2 linked regions of the Lonchura striata genome follow. The protein of the gene in region 1 interacts with the protein of each later gene in a biochemical or structural test. Links are inferred from orthologs where the notes say so. Each region holds a gene or a part of one and is shown in the gene's direction. Other genes may lie near its edges.

Region 1 (10,348 bases):
CAGTACATGCATTTTCTTTGATCCATTTAGTGGGTGCACAGTTTAATGTCCCAGTCAGAATGAGACTAAATCAGCAACTGGTAGACACATAGATGTGAAACACAGATTGAGAGAGGTATAGATAGAGATATATAACACGAGGTCTTGATGGATCAAAAATTCATGCTTTAGATTCACTAATCTCAGATGTCTCCTGTCTAGATATCATCAAATATGTTTGCACTGTATCTTTCTGTAAGGACAAGTGCCCACCAAGGACAGATTAAGGCCAATAGATTGTCTGGATTCCTGACTAGATTGGAATCTGCACCCAGGTGGCAAAGAGGACAAAGTAGCAGTTCTTGGGGGCCCCTTAATGCCCACGGGATGCTATTTGATTTACAAATGCTATTGTCACACCTTACCTAGGACAACTCTAACTGGGGATTATCTGCTAGAAGTGTAGTAGTACATTAATATATGTAGCATTAACATATTAGGAAAAAGACATTTGCAAATGCCCACTAAGCAATATCTCTATAGCTATACAAAGCCAGAATGAAATAGAAGCAATGAATCTATTTTTTTTCTATTGCCGTTAAAAAAAAAAGGCAAACAAATGCACTGTATGTGCATTTGGACTAGAACAATGGGTATTCACCAACTACTGAAATAATTACTTAAGAGGCTGACAAAAAGTCTGGAAACTACAAGCCTTCCATGGTATCTGAGCATGCTTTAAAATGTTGGCTAGTAGATTTAAGATTTAGGGGAAAACCCAGCCATTTCCTAGGGGAGTGTGTGAATTCACCTCAGAATGTGTCTGTCCAATTCACTGCATCAACAACTGACAAAAAAAAAGACATTTTGATGGATCCTTTATATCTCTGTGATATTCTTCCCATCCCCCCATCCCAACTGACACAACTATAATAGGCAATGCTAACATAGGGTTGGATATGCTAGAAAAAACTGTCCTTTCTTCTGATAAAGGTGATTCCATTCAAGGAATTGGTTTAAATTCTACCAGAACAGTCTATATAAACTATATCTCCTGGATAATGGCTTCTGACTATACCCTACAAAATACTGCTAAATCCTTTCACTTGTAGCTCAATGGCTCAGTTGGGAGAGAAGCTGAGACAACTCCCTAGAGAGGTTGAAAGTATCCCAGATCATTTAAAGTGGATGTTAATGATGATCTAGCTAATTATAACAAACTAAATATCATCACCATTAGCAATTTCATTTCTTATTACAGCATAGCAAAAAGAGTATTTATGCCTAATCTGTGTGAAATGTTATGATTTTTGTGTCTTTATTGGATGTAGCCTGTTAAAGACACTCTGCTCTTCCTCCATATGCTACCTGCCTGTTAATTAACATGTACAGGGTGCTTTTAAAAGCAAACAAAGGAAACTCCCTTGCTTGTTTGTTTGGTGTGTTTATGGTCATATATCAAAATATCTCACGCAGAACAACACCATTTTAATTTCCTGTAAGAAGAAAATATTCTTCTGAAGAATGTTCATAGTAATGAAGAGTTTTAATGCAAACATACATCTAAAGTCAAGGAGGGTGAAAGTATTTTAATAAGTTAGTATTTAAGAGATGGAGAACTCAGACTTTCTATGTAGACAGTCCAAAAGTAAAGAATTTACTGCATAAAATTGTCCTTTTTGTCTGTGTGTAAAACTCATCTCTTAGTCTTAATTTTCCTTCAGTAATCACAACAGAATCTGAAAAATAAATATGTAATTTTACATATTTACAAGATAGAAGGGGATAAAAATAAACTGCATTTTAATTATATTATATTTTATTATATTATTCACTGTTTAATTTTATTATACAGTATTCAAAAAACTTAATCATGACTATATGTTATAAATAGCTAGGTTAGTTAGATTCACCATTCAGAGAAATAGGACGGTGTACAAAAAATGATCTGCTAGAGTAGAAAGATAAATCTGATCATTAGGGTTCAGTCCTTTTTCCACTGAAATCTAGCAATGTCCCCAGTGTTAGCAAAAGAAGGAGAAAGATATAGTGGTTCCTTGCTATGGACTACCAGAGGAATTATGTATATCAAGTCTGTGAAAGGCTGCAATGACCATCCTTAGAAAACTGAGACTCCTGAATGAAGGTTGCTATTTGACACATCTGGATATTTGCTGATAAATTTCCTTTTTTTTTTTCAATGGCAGTAATAAAAATCAAACATCCAAATAATGAAAGGATCCAAAGTTACTAATTTACACTAGTGTGTAGTGGCACATCAGTTTATAATTTCTTTCAGAACCAAACAATTAGTTGTTTCTCAGACCCCACATCATTTGCCTTTTCTAAATCAATTGCCTGACAGTAACTGCAGATAAGGTTTTTGCCTGACCTTTATATCCTTCCCAAATGTGGCTGCCTCCATGCACCAGTTCTTCATCCCACCTTGGGCCATGAATCTTTCCTTGTGCCCCCAGCTGCAGCTTGTGCAGACTTTGAGGATTCTGACATGATACCATCTTATACTCCTCTTTTCCTTCCACTAGGTAACTCTTGAGACACATCTGCTGTAAGAGGCAGCCATGCAACACAGGAGATATGTAGGTAGGGGCAAGATGCACTGGTCAAGCTCTCTTGTGATGGATATTGCATAAATGACCAGAAATCGGTGCCGTTGCTCCATATTCCACAGCTTTACCTGAGGTTGTCCCTGTGAAATCACAGCAGACCTATTTCATAGAATGTATTCTTGTAATTGCCTACTGTCAAGAAAGGGACTGTTTTAAAACCTTTGTCTTCTACTGGATGTCAACTGGATAAACAGCAACAGTTAAGGTCCTTGAATATGTCCTGTAGAGCATTTGCTGGGATTGGAGAGAAGGTGGAGGGTGGTGCACCTGGGAGTGGTGAGGAGACTGGTTCTTGGTGTCACTGAATATCAGGTCTTTTGCATACAGCTTATGAGCAGAGTCTCTGCTCCTTCTGACTGTGCTTTCCTGTAACAACAGGTGCAGCAAAAGGAGAAGACAAATGCACACCTTGGAGGACTGTAATTTTCAAGTCAGAGGCTGAGAAGAAGCGGGGAGACAAGGTAGGCTGAAGAAATGCAAAAGTATCATGCATGATATAACTCACAGCAGAAATGCCCTGTGGTTGTGGCATATTGAGTCAGAGAAATGAGTTTTGTAACAGGTCAACAGGTCTTCTGCAGGAGCCAATTCCTACTTGCAGGGAAACATCATAGACAAATCTCAGAGGTTAATTTCTCTTGGAGGCGCAATCCAGACGTGGAAAAATCATTATGTTTTATTAATGTGTAGTTTTTGTCTTCCCATTGCATCTTTCAAGTACGATTCCTCTGAATCAGACATGAAAGATGATAAGAAAGGCACCTCCCTGAACAGAGCTGCCCATTTTCATTTTGTTAAGCTGAAGGGTTGGATGTTCTAAGCTTCTTTTGCACTCTTCATTGTCAAGGTGTTGAAACATTTACAGTACGTTTCAAATGGCAAATGTCACCCACTCACCATCAGTTTTTATTTTCTGCTTGGCCTGAGCAGACAGAGGCACAAGCAGAAACTTCAGTTATTGTTTCTGTGTTTCCCTTCTCTCAAGACTTTCACTGCTCAAAAATGCATCAGAAAGCTATTTTTCATAAGCAAATGTTAAAGCATTCTATCACCTCTTTATATTTTTTGGTCTGTCTTAATGTGAATTGAGTGTAGAGAAATGCTTTGGGTTATTTATCTCAAATTAGAAATATGTGTCTTGAGAAGAGTTGGTGTGAATAATATTAAAAACAAACAAAAACCCCCAAAACTCAAAGAGCTGTTTCATGATGTAACAAGATGTCCAAACTCTGAGGAAATAGCTTATTTTTTTAAAAAGTCTAAGATGAATACTGACCTGAAGGCCCAGTCTCAAAATCATGCCCCAGTTTAAATGTCTTTTAAGCTTTTATTAAAAGCAGTATCTTAACATCAGCAATACTGAATTATAAATGGTGAGTCAAACAGGATTTTCCACATTAATTTGTTTCTTTTACAAAGTATCATTTTGGATGTTGGTTAATTTCCCCTGTTACTTTTAAGGGTTTTCATTATACAAAGAGAAAAAAAAAAGAGTTTAAGAAAATTGATTGCATAAAATAGAAAGGAATAAGCAAGAGGCAGAAAATGAGAGAAGAGTACAATGGGCCGAAGGAATTATATTGCTCTTAAACATATCTGTAAAGGGACCTGAGGTTTGCCTAATCACTCTGTGCACCAGCACTCCCCCAGCACATATATATGTATCAGGGGGTGGTGTGCATGTCACATAAAGTACATACATATGGTGGTGTATATAGCACATATAGCTAAAACAAAACATCCGCAGTACTACACCACTATTATCATATATCATGAAACAGCTAACATTTTCCTGGGAACATGAGACTGGAAAAGGAAGTCATATAAGATAAAAAAGTTGGAAGAATATCAGCTCTTCATATTGGCATTCAGATGCTGGTGTTGCACATGCCTCTTCCCTGTGTAGCACTATGCATGTCAGCAGTATTGCTTGGGCAGCCAGGGGCTGCTCCTTCGGAGCAGGGGCAGATTTGTCTCTTGGTGTGCTGTGAAATCACTGGCTTCGGAGGCATGGCACCAGAGCACAGGCTCTCATCTGGTCCCCGGTGCCCACCTCCAACAGTGCCCGGGCATGCGTGGCAGCTTGAACAATGTGCAACTCTCACTCAGTGTGACAGCATCTGACTACTGTGTCTATCCTGAAAGTCAGGCTGTGCTGACCTGGTGCTGTAAAATGTGCATATAAAAGGCATCCCTGGGACCGCCAGGGCAATTAGTCTGACCGTAGCAGGAACATCCATGTATTATAGGCATCTCGCTAAAGCTACTTCTTGCACCCAGAAAAGATTTACAGGTGAAAAACAACACCAAGCCAGTTAGCCTGAGGAAATTAGGGTTGAAGTGGCCCTTTGAGTTAGGTAAGATTGCTTTCTCTTTGTTTTTAAAAAACTAGTGGACCAAGTAATCTCAAACCACAAATACCTGCAGCTTTGTTTTGTAATAAAATCAACATTTTCAATGGTGAGACTAAGAGAAGCTTTATGAAATACACAGCATCAAATCAGTCTTTCATTTCCATCAGCAAACATAACATTTTGTCAAGAACCACTAATTTTTTGAGGACTTTCCAAATGTAGCCCAAGCTCGGGTACCTTGCTAAATTGCATGTATCAGTAACAAATCTTTACTTGGCTGTGTTGTGAGTCAGGTTATGAACAAAAGTGCATGTAAAGTATCTGATATTGTGACGGCAGCAATTTAAATATATTTATATATATATATACACATATACTTTTCCCGAGAGCCAGTCCCACCTTGTGACTTGATGGAAAATGGTTGTGGTAGTGTTAATTTACGGTTTCTCAGACTTTTTTAATATCAGGGAGCAATCTGCAAACTTTGGAAATGTAAGGTGTCTTGTCAGGACACATCATTTCCCGAAGGATGGAGATACTGGAACAAATGGCATCCTAGTTCTTGCTATTTCTGGACTGCAGCATGCTGTTGTGAGAAACCTGCTCGCAAGGAGCCCGGAGGAAGAACGGAGATGAGGGCCAAAGACGGAGGCAGCTGAGAGCCCTGTTTCGTAGGTTGAAGGCCAGAGGAGCCTGGCAGGGTGCTGAGGAGGCTGGCAGGTGGGCTGGGAAAGGAGGAGCCGGCGCAGGCATCACCGCCACTTTTCCCCTCGACAAAGCACTTGTATTTTTTCTCCAAAAGAGCTATCTGTCGGTGTCACATGGCTTAGGTGAAACTTTCCTTGAAGTCCTTCAGTCAAGTCAGCCTGCTGCGCCAGAGCGAACGTGAGCCCAAAAGGCGCAGCATACACAGAAAACCCACGCGAAGGGCACGTTTACCCCCAAAAAGCCCTGGATTTTTGGCGGGCGGGAAAAGGGGGTGTCCAAGGCATCGGTGCGCGGGAAATGGGGCTGCAGATGCAGGCTGAGCCGAAGGATGGAGCGGGAGAGGAGGGAGAGGGAGGAAGCGCGACCCGAGGCGGAGGGGCCGCTCCGGGGGGGACCCGCCGTCGCCCCGCGCTGCCTTCTGGCTGTGGGCGGGGTGTCGCCGCCCTTGGGCCGCCGCCGGGGCGGGCCGGGCCGGGCCGGGGGGATGGCGGGGGAGGAGGAGGAGGAGGAGGAAGGGGGGAGCGGGGGTGTCATGCCGAGAGCTCGCGTCGCAGCCCGGCAGGCCGCGGCCCGACCCGCACCCCGGGGCGCAGCCCTCCGCCGCTCCCCCAGGCAAGCGGCCCCGCTCCCCGCCGCGCCCGGGGCACCCGCGCCCCGGGCAGCAGCCAGCCGCGTCCCGAACGGGCGGAGGGAAGGGGGGAAGGAAAGCGGAGCCCTCTCCGCCGCTCAGAGGAAGGGGAGGGAATGGGGAAAGTTTAGCGGAGGGTGTTTGAATCGGGAGTTATCCCTAAAGAGCCTTTCCCCTGATCTGATCCAGAGGGCAGCGCTGGGAGGAGGGGGAGGCGACGACGAGCAGCCCTGCAACATCTGTAAAACTTGAAGGAGGCGGCGGAGAGGAGCGCGCGAGACGGAGGAAAGAGAGAGGGACAACTTTTCCGACACGTGAGTACCTCGGCGCGATGTGTTTGTTCCCCTCCTTCGGTGGCTGCGCCGAGCCAAAACAATGCGGGGCGGTGGCGGGGCTGGAGGGGACGGGCGGCACGGGACGGGACGGAGGGGTTCCCCCTTCCCCACCAAAACTGGTACCAGGCCGTAGATTTGGGGATACTTTTTTTTTTTTCTTTTGCTCCCTCTCTTCTTTTTCTTCTTTTTCTCCTCCCCTCTGCTCTTTTTGTTGAACCGAATCAGAAATGTCAGTCAGTGCGAGTGAGTCAGAAGGGATCAGATTACAAGATCACTGAAACTGATGTCGGACCCGCGCACACACACCCCCACACGGAGGCAGAGGCGCGGGCTGCTCCCCGCGGGAGGCGGGCAGGGATAAAACAACCAGCACCAACACCCGCCGGCCCTCCTCTGCCGCCCCCGTCCCGCCTGTGTCCCGTCCCGTCCCCCTGCCCCGCGGGATGCCCGCCGGCCGCGGCGGGGGCCGGCCCCGCTAGCCGCGGCGGCGGCGGAGCGGCGCGGGGACGAGCCGGCGGTCCCGGCCCTCGCCCATGGGCAGCGCGGGGGTCGGCGGCAGCGGCGGCAGGTACGTACCCACTTGGGCGAGAAGTTCTTTGTTCCCCGGCTCTACTCCGGGCCACTTTCTTGTCGTCTCCCAGCGCTCCGGCCCCGCTCCCGGCCCGCTTCCCGCTTCCCTAACTTGGAGGCGGGGGTCGGGGGGGACCGAGGTGTCTAACCCCCAAAATGGCTGTCACGGAGCGCGGGAGCCGAGGGCGCGGGGTGCGGGGCGAGGCGAGGGCAGTCCCCGCTCCGAGCCGGGCTCGGCCGGGCACGTCCCGCGGCAGAGCTGCCGATGTGCGGGCGACAGCTGCTGTTTTATTTCCACCCCCTTCTTTCTCCTCGCCCCTACTCCCTGAGCGACTCCAGGGGGTTTTCACGCCCGTGCGGCGGGAGGCCGGCACAAACTTCGCAGGGGGAAAGGCGAGAGGAGCGGGGGCGAATCCGCTGTCACATCTGGCGGGGCGGAGGGGCGCCCGGGGGTCGTCGTTCCCTGCCGGCTGCTCCCTGCGAGGAAGGGGACGGTCGGGTCCCGGAGGGGGGCGCGGGGGTGCCGGCGGCTCCGTGAGCAGCGCGCTCGGCCGCTCCGCGCCGCCCTGGCGCGGGTCCGGCGGGAGCGGGGCGGCGGGACGGGCCCGGCCGAGGCCGGGCGGGAGGAGCGGCGCGGCCGCCCCGCGGGAGCGCCCCGGAGCCGCCCCGGGCCGGCACCGCGGCCCGGCCGTGCACCGCCCAACTTTGCAGGATGGGAGCGCGGCGCGCCCGCCGCGGTTCCGATTGTCCCGTGAAGTCGGTGGGTGTTGGCACAATCCCCGCGCCTTCGGACGGGCCCGCCGGCTCGCAGCTGCTAGCGCCCGCTCCCCAACCCGCGCACCACGTGAAGAGAAAAGGTAAAAGGAAACACACGCCCCTCGCTCCCCATCTCACTCCCCAGTTTTGTTTTTAACCCTCTGGTGCGTAGTTTTTATCCGGTCCTGCGGGTACGGTGTCCGTGGCCTTCTGCCAGTTTGTATGTAGATACATTTATGTAAAACATTTTCTCCCAGCTCCTTGCCAGCTGTTCCACATTTTCCAGCTGCCACTTCAGTTTGAAATGATGGACTGTACTCATCTCAAAGAGCCTTTTAGTCAGAGGTACGGATAGCTGTCTGTTTGATACACAGTGTCACGTTTTGGAGGCTACTTCACTAAAAGAACATTAAGTAGCAACCCACGGCAAAATGCTCCTCTTCGTCGCACCCTTGCTACTTCCCGCTTCATTTGCAAGCCTCAATAAACATGATTTTTTAAGCTTCAGCGTGCAGACTTCGTTTCTTTTGTGTGCGTGCTACAGAAAAACTTGGAAGCAAAATTTTCCAGAGGCCTTGAGACATGTGGCTGATTAAACCAAGAAACATTTTTAGGAGGGCACGGCTGCCTCTCTGTCTCTCTGTGCTGTAGGTATCTGTTTTGAAATCGTTTAAGTCACTGGAATAGTGAGAAATCACTATGTTTCTCTGTGTTCCAAAATTGGTTTTGTTGTGGTGTTTAAAGAGATTATGGATTGAAATGTTCCAGAACTGGCCTTAAGTAGTTTGAATATTTGTGCAATTGCATTGTAATTTGGAGAGGTGCCTCACTGATTGATTCCTATAATTATTTCATTTAGGTCCTTTATTAAAAATTGATAATGATCTGACAGTTTCTTAATTATATATGTCATGATTATTTTGAAGGAAGACGAATGCAGTGTTTTAAAAGTAAAGTAATCCAAAAATGTAAAAACTGCCATCTTCACTGTATTTCAGTCGTGGAAATATATATTAAAAGTAATGGTGAATGAGTTTAGCAATGTAAACTGTAGGCAGCCTCTTGAGAGTTTGTTTATATAAGGAAGGTTTGGGTATAACCAGCTAGTATGTAAATACTTTCAGTTTTGTGTATAGCCCAATTCTAAAAGCATAAATAATAGTAACTATGAGAGGAGGCTATTTTAAGGACAGGGAATTATTTCTTTAAAAGCAGGATTATGTGATTTTGAATGAGTAGGAAGAATGAGTAAGAAAAGGACTCTCTCAGTGTATGTGTATTCTTTTAAGTAGCAGTGGAAGCAAAACTGTGGCTTAAGGTGCCCAAATGAATGCAACCTTGCATTCTGGTAATAGCATATGGTTTTCAGCAGGACATGCTGTTTTCCATAGCTTTTCTGTAGACTACTGCAAAACAAAGACATCACCTGCATTTTCCTGCATAAACAGAGAAACATTTTTGGCTTGAGAAGGTGTGCAGTGGCCAAGAAAGAGTTATTACTGCTATACGTAATCATCAGTTGTAAAAGATTGTTCGTTTTCAAACACAAAAACAGTGTGTAACTAAGAAATTAAAGTATCAATGACTATAAATGATTTTTTTTTTTTTTCTGAATAGTGTTGGAAAAACCAAAATACTCAAGTTTGGAGACATCATTATAATTTGTTCATCTTGCAGATTACTCGAATTTTTAACAAGATTAATGTATGCACTGATAGTGACCCATGAAAGTTTCGGTTACACTTCCTGCCTCGTTTTGGGGAAAGCTATTCAATTACCTGTACTCCTGTAGTGTATTTGAATTCTAGTCTGCATATTAGAGGAAGGAATGGCATATTTTTATGTTGCAGAGTGTTAGTAAAAAGTTAGTCATCTCTGCCTGATAAATAAGGAATTTGAGAGCTATTAAAGCAGGGTTTATTTGAAGTTATGGAAGGAGGCATTTTAATGATCAGTGTTGCATGTGTTCAACTATATGGACACAGAAATGTACAAAGAAAAAGCAAAGTTGAAGGAAAAGTGAATCAACGAGTCATGAAATCCTCAGGAAAACCTTACTAGTGGAATGTTAATGCTTTTAGACTATAGATAGATTACCTTAAAAGTCAGGCTTTTCTTCTTTATGCAATTGTTGTAAATCCCTAGCAAAAGAATACTTTGAAGAAAGCTTTAATTTTTCTGGCACTCATATTCTGTAGTAATTCTGGTTGTTTTGGAAGATTCAAGATATTTTCTGCCAACTTGCAGTTAGGCAATTAAAATGCTAAAATGGCTACAGAGGAAGCTTTTATTTAACAAAAGGTTCAGCTGTAATAATGATTTCAAGTTGTCTTTTAACCACAGGTTTTATAGACATCCTCCCTTTAGACTCTGTCATTTTTATAAGGG
Region 2 (9,604 bases), on another chromosome or scaffold:
AGCTCAGTCACGCAGAAAGGCTGCCTAAAGTCTGTGTCCCCCGCAACAGCGGGACAATAGAGCCACCCTTCGGGTCACAGGTCACCTCCTCGCTGATTGAGATATTCGCCGCTTTCCCCCACCCTCTCTGCTTCTCGGAGGCGCGGGGGGGTTCTCAAGGGGGCGGTCGGAGGGCACGGATGCTCTCGGCCGGGCCGGGGTGCCGAGGCCCCGGCTTGCCCCGCTGTCCGCTCGCGGGTCTGCACTGTTCCTCCTCCTGATGGCTTAGCGAGGGATAGGGGATGGGAGAGATGAGGGGTGGGTGTTTCCCCCTTGCAGACTGTGGCCTTTCCTGGGCTGACTCCGGTGTGTGGGCACCCCAAGGCGCAGGGAGCCTCCTCAGCTTCCCGTAGGGCTGCGGCACCCGTTGTTCCCTGCTCCTAGGTTTGCCTTGGCCCCATTTGGGCGACAGGACACAATTTCTTCTGCAGCACTTGAACCAGTCCTCGTGGTTTTCCCACTCGCTTCCGAGCCTGATGCATATTTTCCACGCAGCTGAACGGTGATCTTCATTTTAGGGGGGAAACTTCTCCCCATCACCACAAAACGAGCAACAAGCCCTGGTGCCCGGGCGAGGTTGCCAGCGTCGGTGTCGGCCCGGCTCCACGGGGTGCAGGGGAGCCCGCTGGCACCTACGTTTCCTCGCCACTCCAGTCTTTCTGCCTGCCTCCGTCTGGCCTTTGATATTCCTCGCCCCCTCCCGTTGCCGAAGTTCAGACCTGTTTACTCCAGCCCAGATCTCTGAAGTTCAAATGTACATGTGCTTCCCCCTCCGCTGAGTGACAGCTACAATGGAAATGTCTCGTTCGCTCCTGGTTTGCATATAATTACACCGGAGATGCAATATGTTTATGGCAGGAGAAAAACTACTTGTCTTTACGCTTGTTAAGGATATTCATTTAGCCGCGATACAGCGCGGTTTAAAAGCTCTTTAGGGTGGATGGAATATTCCCCTCGCCGCCGTCTCTCAGCTCAGCGCGAGGGGACTTTTGTTGCTGTTATCCCGGGTTTGTTCTGCTTTTTCCTCGCATCCTCGGTGTAAGGCACAAGGGAAATCCACGGAGCCTCCGATCTGGAGCTCCTGGGGCCGTTGCTGAAACTTCACCTGCCCCTGGCCCGCTGCGGAATGTGCCATAAAGCGTGGGCACCCGCTGGGGACCGCGTTTTCCTCCTGCGCTGGAGGCCCGAGACCTCGCGGTCTCCTCCTGGCGAGGCTCTCCGGACCGCGCCGGGGTGCTGGGACGGGGCCGCGTTCATCCCCGGGATCCCCGGGAAGCCCGGCAGGGAGGTCCCGGCGGGCTCTGGGCACGGAGGGACCCCCAACGCTTCCCAGGGCATTTGAAATTTTTGCAGCTCTTAAGTTCCAAAAACACTTAAAAGGAAAACAAAAAACAAACAAAACAATACAAAACAAATCTAAAAACCAACCAACCAACCAACCAACCAAACAAACAAACAAACTAAAAAAAAAAAAAAAAACAAAAACCCCAAAAAAACCCAAAAAGGTGGGAGAACTGCACAATATTTGTTCTTGACGTAAAGCACGGGGTCTTTCTTTGCCTTCCCCACACGTTGGGAGCACGGAGGGAAAAGGGAGCCTGGAGACTACTTTTACGGTTGTTGTTGTTTGCATGTTTGCAATTGAGATAGATTTTAAATGGAAGAGATGAGAGGTACCCCGACTTCTGGAAAATGAATTGAGTTTGGCCAGAAATACCACTGAATAAAAATGGAAATTACTGAATTTATAAAATAAAGTATAAAATACATATTTTTATATACATACATACATACACACACACACACACACACACACACACACGCACGCACACACACACACGCACACACACACATATATATATATATACACACATATTCCGAAAGCTCAGCAAGGGAAAAACGATCATAGGCTACACAGACAATGCCTTTAAAAAAAAAAAAACAAACAAACAAACAAAAAAACCCCACCTCGTTTTATACAATTTTTGCTCCCCGAGCTGGCAAATTCCAGTCAGGATGCGACGGAGTGCAAATAGTGACAGAACACCAGTGCGGATGCTGCCGGGTGCACACACCCAGGCAAAGTTGGCAGAGTAGAAGTGGGAAACGTATAAAAAGATTTATAGGTTAATTGATGTAGCCCAATCCGCCATACACAGCTGCTAGGCAGGCTGTGGCCAGCAAGCCGTCCCGAAACGGATATTCCTCGTCCAAAATTACGATTATTTCGTTTTTCTCCCCAATCCCAGCCCCTCGGGATATTTTTCTCGAAGCACCGCCGTCGCGCCATTGCCGATGAGATTTTTTTTTTAGGCGGAAAACAACTTAAATTTATTTTTTTTAAATCTTCTGCCTCTGTGGAGCCACAGTCGCTCTTTCTCGCCACGCCGGAGGGTTTCCCAGCCCACACCCGCGCCTCCCTTCCCACGCCCGCCGGTCGGGGCAGCCGCAGCCCCGCGTGGTGTGAGCACCTGGGCGGGCAGCGCCGCTCCGCCACCGCCACCGGCCCGGCCCGGCCCGGCGCGGCGCGTCCCACCCACGGGGGACACAATGCCGCACGTGAGGCCTCTGCACAAACAGGGGTCAGTCGCCCTCGGTCGCTCCAGGTCGGCGACTTCAGAGGCTCTGCCCTCCCCGACGCTCAGCTGACGGGAATAATTGAAGTTCCAACCCCTTCCCCACGGCCTTTTTTTTTTTTTTCCCCTTTTTTTCTTTCTTTCCTTTTTTTTTTTTTTTTTTTTTAATTTTTATTGTGGGTTGGTTGTTGTCGAGAAAGAAAACCCTACACGTGCGGGAGGTAAATATAATTAATGACCCCGGCGCAGCCCTCCGGAGACAGGCAGGTAGAGCCTCAGCGGAGCAGCAAGGCGGCTGCGGGCCTCGCCGCGTCGCCGCCGGGGGCCGATGTGACCGGCTACCCCTGGCCCTGTCCCGGCTTCCCGGCGCCCGGGCTCCCGGCCGAGCCGCGGCGAGGGCTGCGATCCCGCCGGCTCCCCCGCCGCCCGCGAGCAGCCGCGGCTGGAGCGGGGAGAGCAAGAACGCGGCCCCGACCGCCCCGGTGGGTGCCCCGGTGGGTGCCACGGTGGGTGCCCCGGTGGGTGCCACGGTGGGTGCCCCGGTGGGTGCCACGGTGGGTGCCACGGTGGGTCCCCGCGCTCCCTCCTTCTGCTCTGTTGCCATCGTGCACTAACGGCAGCGGCGGACTCACCTTCCAACTTTGGGACTGTTCTTGGCGGCTGTGGCCTGGGAAATTTGAGTGTTTGACGGGCACTGGTGTTATCTCTCGGGGAGATTTTATATCGGTGGCTTTTTTTTTGTCCCCTTTCTTTCTTCTTCTTTTTTTTTTTTTTTCCTCTCTTACTTTTATTTTTTTTTTTTAATTTTTCTTTTACTCGCCCCCTGCAATCCTTAAAATAAAGAAGACGAAGCCTTTCCCGGGGCTGATTGGGGGGAAGAATGTGAAAGGGCCGCGGTAATAAAGCGCTGCTTGAAGCGGGCTCTCAATGCGTCTCTGAACTTGATCAGATTTTACGTTTCCTGCAGAGAGCCGGCGGCGAGCCTGAGACCTGCCCAATAGCCAGACTTGGGGGCTCAGCAAACCTCAGGATATTACAATTACAGCCATCTTTCTTTCTGCCTTTTATTTTCACTCTTGCTCCCTATAGTTCTTTGCAAATGCTTTCCAGAACAGAAAATGAGTGGATTTATAGCGCTGTCTGCAACTGATAATTATTCCAAGGCAGAACATTTCCCTTGCAAAATAAAATATTAAAAAATAAAATAATAAAAACAAAGAAAGAAAGGGGATAAAAAGAGAGAACGGAAGAAGGAAAAAATGAGAAAGTGAGAAAGGAAGAAGGAAAAAATGAGAGAGAAAGAGAGAAAGAAAGAGAAAGAATGAACGAGAGCAGGAAGAAAGCGGCTCGGAGCCGCCGTGGCGGGCGCTGCTCGGCCGCCCCCCGCGGGTCGGCAGGGGGTGGGGGACGGGGCAGGGGAAAGGGGCTGGGCTCGGCCGGCGGGGTGACCCCGGCCCGGGCACGCTGCGCACCGAGGCGGAGAGGCAGGAGCGAGCGGCTCTGCTCTCGGGTTTACTCAGTAAGGGTAAAAATGAATAGAAAACTGAAACAGATATATAAAGTATATATGATTATATATAAATGTATGCATACAGAAATAAACTGTAAACAGCCTCGGCTTTAGCTTTCCTTTTTTTTTTTTTTTTTAATTAAATTTTATTTTTGAACCAACGCGGCGGCTTTGCAGAGGCTTTACGCCGCCCCGCCGCGCCGCCCAGGGCGAGCATCCCGCGCGGCGTGGGGCGGCGCTGGCAGGGCACGGGCAGCGAGACGCGGTGGGACCGGACCGGGACACGGCGGGACTGGGACACGGCGGGACACGGCGGAACACACGGGTCCGGGCCGGGAGACGGCGGGACCGGACCGGGACACGGCGGGACAGGGACACGGCGGGACCGGGACACGGCGGGACACACGGGTCCCGGGACATGGCGGGACACGGCGGGCCGGGCCGAGACACGGCGGCAGACGGCGGAACACGGCGGCAGACGGCGGAACACGGCGGCAGACAGCGGGCTACGGCGGGCCGGGCCGGGACACGGCGGGACACGGTGGCAGACAGCGGGCCACGGCGGGCCGGGCCGGGCCACGGCGGGCCACGGCGGGCCGGGCCGGGCCACGGCGGCACAGGGCGGGCCGAGCCGCGCCGAGCCGCGCCGGGCCGGGCGCGGGCTCCGCGGCGCTCCCGCCGCCCGGGCCCCCCCGGCCACCCCCGCTCTACCTGCGGGGCGCGCGCGCCCAATCAGCGGCCGCGGCGGCGCGGGGCGCGTGCCAATCAAGCGCGGTGCCGCCAATGGGGCGGCGGGCGGCGGGTCAGGTGACGGGCGGCGCGCGGCCCCCATTGGCGCGGCGCGGCGCGGCCCGGGCTCGGTTTATGTGCGAGGCGCGCTCGGGCGCCCGGCAGTGCCCCGACGGCGCCGAGCGGGAGCGCGGCCGCCCCGCGCCTCCTGCCCTGCTGCGCCGCCCGGCCCGACCGGCGCGGCGCGGGGGGCGGGTGGCTGCTTTGGCTTTTGGGGTTTTGGTTTTGGGGTTTTTATCTTCTTCTTTTTTTTTTTTTTTTTTTTTTTTTGGTTGTTTTTTGGTTTGGTTTTGTTTTGCTTTTGTGTCGGTCGTGGGGTGCTCGCCTCGCTGCCCGCCCGCGGCCGGGGCCGCGCCTGCCCGCAGCGGGGGGCGGAGTGGGGGTGCGTTTTGGGGTGGTTTTGTACTTTTTTGGGGGCGGGCGGAAGGAGGAGGGGGGGCGGGCAGGCTGCCGCCGCGCCGACGGCCCCGCGCCCATGACGATGCTGCTGGACGGAGGGCCGCAGTTCCCGGCGCTGGGGGTGGGCGGCTTCGCAGCGCCCCGCCACCACGAGATGCCGGGCCGCGACGCCGCCGGCGGCGGCATGGGGCTGGGCCCCTTCGGGGACTCTTCGCACGCCGCCGCCTTCAAGCTGAACGCGGCCCCGCACGACCTCGCCGCCGGGCAGAGCTCGGCGTTCACGCCGCAGGCGCCGGGCTACGCCAGCGCCCTGGGCCACCACCACCATCACCACCACCACGCCGGCCAGGTGCCCTCCTACGGCGGGGCCGCCGCCTTCAACTCCACCCGCGACTTTCTGTTCCGCAACCGCGGCTCCGGCATCGCGGACGCCGCCTCCGGCACGGCGCAGCACGGGCTCTTCGGCGGCTCTCCCGGCGGCTTGCACGGCCCCGGCGGCATCCCGGACACCCCGGGCTACCTGCTCTTCCCGGGGCTGCACGAGCAGAGCCCGAGCCACACGTCCCCCAACGGGCACGTGGACAACGGGCAGATGCACCTGGGGCTGCGCGGGGACCTCTTCGGGCGGCCGGATCCCTACCGGGCCGTCTCCAGCCCCCGCACGGACCCTTACGCCGGCGCCCAGTTCCACAACTACAACCACATGAATATGAATATGGGCATGAACGTGGCGGCCCACCACCACCACCACCACCACCACGGCCCCGGCGCTTTCTTTCGGTACATGCGCCAGCCCATCAAGCAAGAATTGTCCTGCAAGTGGCTCGACGAGAGCCAGCTCAGCCGGCCCAAGAAGAGCTGCGACAGGACTTTCAGCACCATGCACGAGCTGGTGACCCACGTCACTATGGAGCACGTCGGGGGGCCGGAGCAGAACAACCACATCTGCTACTGGGACGAGTGTCCGCGGGAAGGCAAGTCCTTCAAGGCGAAATACAAACTGGTGAATCACATTCGGGTGCACACGGGGGAAAAGCCCTTCCCGTGTCCCTTCCCGGGCTGCGGCAAGATCTTTGCCCGCTCCGAGAACCTCAAGATTCACAAGCGGACGCACACAGGTAAGGCCCGTGTCCGTGTGTTCCCCCGCCCGGGACGGGGGGCTCCGGGGCTGCGGGACGGGCCGGGCCGGTGGCGGCCGGCGTGTGAGCTGCGCGGCGCTGCCTCCGCTCTCGGCCTCCGGAGCGGAGGGAACCATAGAAATGCAAATGAAACCTCGTTTTCGGTGACTTCCGCTCCTTTTTTATTCTTATTTTTAGGCCTGATTGGCGTCTCTTCTAATTAAATCGGCGATACTTTTGTCAAAGTATTTTTATTTGCAGCCCCGACTTTCCTTCAGCCCTCCTGCATGGGTGGAGGGAAGAGAGGGGGAAGGCTGGAAGCAAACGTACTTTGGCTTGTATCCTCGAGTAGGTCTTGTAAAGCTGTCCGAGCCGCTGAATTTATCTCAGGTCTTCTCCTTTCCCAAGCTCGCCCAGCTGCCTTCCCTGCTGGAGCCCAGCGTGGGCCTGGCGGGAGGTGAGTTAAAAGTCATAAAGCCTGACCCAAATTTATCCGACACGTAACAAATCTTGCTGTCCATCTTCCCCTTCATTTGTTGTGGTGCTTGTGCATCCCTAAGGTGGGGCGAGCAGGGCAGATGCTGTCCTTGGAGGAGGCGGGTGAGGATGGAGAGAGGAACGGCCCTCCTTCACCCTCTCTAAATTTCACAGGTGAGAAGCCTTTCAAGTGCGAGTTTGAGGGCTGCGACAGGCGCTTCGCCAACAGCAGTGACAGGAAGAAACACATGCACGTCCACACCTCCGACAAGCCCTACATCTGCAAGGTGTGCGACAAATCCTACACCCACCCCAGCTCACTTAGGAAACACATGAAGGTAAATCACGCCGGTGCTCCAGCCCTTTCCTCCCTGAGCAGTGATGCTCAGTCGCTGGTGTGCTCAGGGCTCATTCCCCCGGAGCAGAGCTGAGCTCCTTGTTCCGAGCACGGCCCGAGCCGTCCCCGCTGTCTAGGCTGTGGCTGGAGCACAGCCCGGGGAAATGGCGCAGTTTCTTTTCCGCTGGTGCAGGCGCTGCCCGGTTTGTGGAGCGGGGCTCGGTGCGGGCAGGCTGTGCAAGTGCAGCCCGGCCTGTGGCTGCAGCCCCTCGTGCTGGGATGCCGCAGCCCCCCGGCCAGGCCGCTGCAGCAGTGTCCGGGGGCCGCGGCAGGCGTCTGTTGCCGATGCTCAGTGGCCGGCCGGGCGTGAGCTGCCCTCCGGCCGAGCGTGAGCTGCCCACTGCCGGGCATGAGCTGCCCGCCGGCCGGGCGTGAGCTGCCCACTGCCGGGCATGAGCTGCCCGCCGGCCGGGCGTGAGCTGCCTGCCGGCCGGGCGTGAGCTGCCCACTGGCCAGGTGTGAGCTGCCCACTGCCGGGCATGAGCTGCCCGCCAGCTGGGTGTGAGCTGCCTGCCGGCCGGGCGTGAGCTGCCCACTGCCGGGCATGAGCTGCCCACTGCCGGGCATGAGCTGCCCGTCGGCCGGGCGTGAGCTGCCCACTGCCGGGCGTGAGCTGCCCGCCGGCCGGGCGTGAGCTGCCCACCGGCCGGGAGTGAGCTGCCCGCTGCCCCAGGAGTGAGCTGCCCACTGCCAGGCATGAGCTGCCCACTGCCGGGCGTGAGCTGCCCGCCGGCCGGGAGTGAGCTGCCCGCTGCCCCAGGAGTGAGCTGCCCACTGCCAGGCAGGGCCCGGCCACTGCTCCACGTGTCCCTCCGGCATGGAGGAGCAGGCCCGCGGGGTGCTGGAGGACCCGAGCTCGCTCCCATCTCTGCCTCTTGGTTTTAGGTGCACGAATCCCAAGGGTCGGACTCTTCCCCTGCAGCCAGTTCGGGGTACGAGTCCTCCACCCCGCCTGCGGTGGGCTCCGCCGGCAGTAAGGACTCCACTAAAACGCCGCCGGCCGCCCTGCAGAGTAACCCCGGCCATAACCCTGGACTGCCCCCCAATTTTAATGAGTGGTATGTGTGAAGGCAGCTGCTGCCCGGCCACAGACTGGACCAAATGCATAGGGAACGAGGCAAAAAAAAGGACAAACCAAGCCAACTGCAGCTCGCTCCCACGGAAATAGAGTTTCCACACCGATGGCCGCATAGTGCTACACCTACTTGACTGCCAGGATGTGGAGGGGGGTCTTTTATTATTATATTATAATTATTACTATTTCTTTGCAAGCCCAGACGCTGGACTAGCCATGTCCTTTTCTCAGGATTAGATTTTTTTTTTTTTGTAATTTTTTTCAGTCTCAGTCATTTCTTTGGTTTTCACTCCCCCCCCTTGCCTGAGTCTCTCTTCCTCCAATTCCCAACTTATTTTATTTTTCTTAATTTGTTTTTTTTTTTTTTTTTCTCTTTCTTTCGGTGGGATGTTGACATGAGGATGAAAATTCTCCTTCGCCTTAGTGGTGATTGTTTAAACTTACAGTCTTAAACCGTGCCAAAGTCCTGTTATGTCTTGAACTTTCCTTTCTAGCTCTCTTGCTGCTTCTTTCTCTGCTCTTCTCTTTCTCCTTCTCTCTCCAAGCATTACACATGTGAATGTATTCTCGTCTGATGGGGTCGGTCAGTATTTTTCAGGATGAGGATGTGGTGTTTATTCTGCCCAGATTGTGACGTTTAGTATAACAGTTGCCTTTTTGTAATAACTTTTTTTGTAAATACATACCCATGATGCCATATTTATCGTTCGTAATTTAATTATTGATACAAAGTGCCGGGAACTGAACAATATTTATGGGGGAGAAAAAATTGTTTTCTAACAAAAAAATACAAACAAAAAAAATCCAACTCTGTACAGCTTTTGGTTATAACTGCCTTAGCATTAAAAGTTTATTGTTTTGGAAAGAGCCGTTTTTGACTTCCTCCGGGGCATGGGGAGTCGCGGGTACCGTCGCGGGCCCGGATGGCGCTGCCAGCGGGGCCGGGCCGTTGTTTTGGAGCCGGTGATGCCGGGGGAAGCGCCCTGCTCGCCGCCGCTCTCTGCTGCCCCTTTGTCCCAGCCCTGCACGCCCGGCGGCTTCCCGAGCGGGCCGAAGTCGGGGCACGGCGCCGGCGAGCTGGAGCAGCCACGGGGGCAGCGGGGCGGTCCCGACGGTGAGTGCCCGGTGAGTGCCCGGTGAGTACCCGGTGAGTACCCGGTGAGTACCGGGCAGCGCGGGCTGTAGGGCTGCGCACCCGTGCCGGACCGGCCCGCCGACAGCGGG

What was found. The genes of interacting proteins can lie anywhere in the genome.
Region 2: the proteins of GLI3 (region 1) and ZIC3 form a complex in vitro, tested with the Homo sapiens proteins (2 studies listed by BioGRID). The link is inferred for Lonchura striata from reciprocal best matches to the Homo sapiens genes GLI3 and ZIC3.

What each region holds. Positions count from the first base shown.
Region 1 is NC_134603.1:104,408,737-104,419,084, reverse strand, and holds the start of GLI3 (transcriptional activator GLI3), read left to right. Parts: upstream 1-6,176; 5' UTR 6,177-6,283; intron 6,284-6,354; exon of another isoform or gene 6,355-6,488; 5' UTR 6,489-6,613; intron 6,614-7,146; exon of another isoform or gene 7,147-7,202; intron 7,203-7,872; exon of another isoform or gene 7,873-8,061; intron 8,062-10,348. UniProt on the Homo sapiens protein: Has a dual function as a transcriptional activator and a repressor of the sonic hedgehog (Shh) pathway, and plays a role in limb development.
Region 2 is NC_134616.1:339,354-348,957, forward strand, and holds ZIC3 (zinc finger protein ZIC 3), read left to right. Parts: upstream 1-5,389; coding exon 5,390-6,431; intron 6,432-7,082; coding exon 7,083-7,246; intron 7,247-8,190; coding exon 8,191-8,373; 3' UTR 8,374-9,245; downstream 9,246-9,604. UniProt on the Homo sapiens protein: Acts as a transcriptional activator. Required in the earliest stages in both axial midline development and left-right (LR) asymmetry specification. Binds to the minimal GLI-consensus sequence 5'-GGGTGGTC-3'.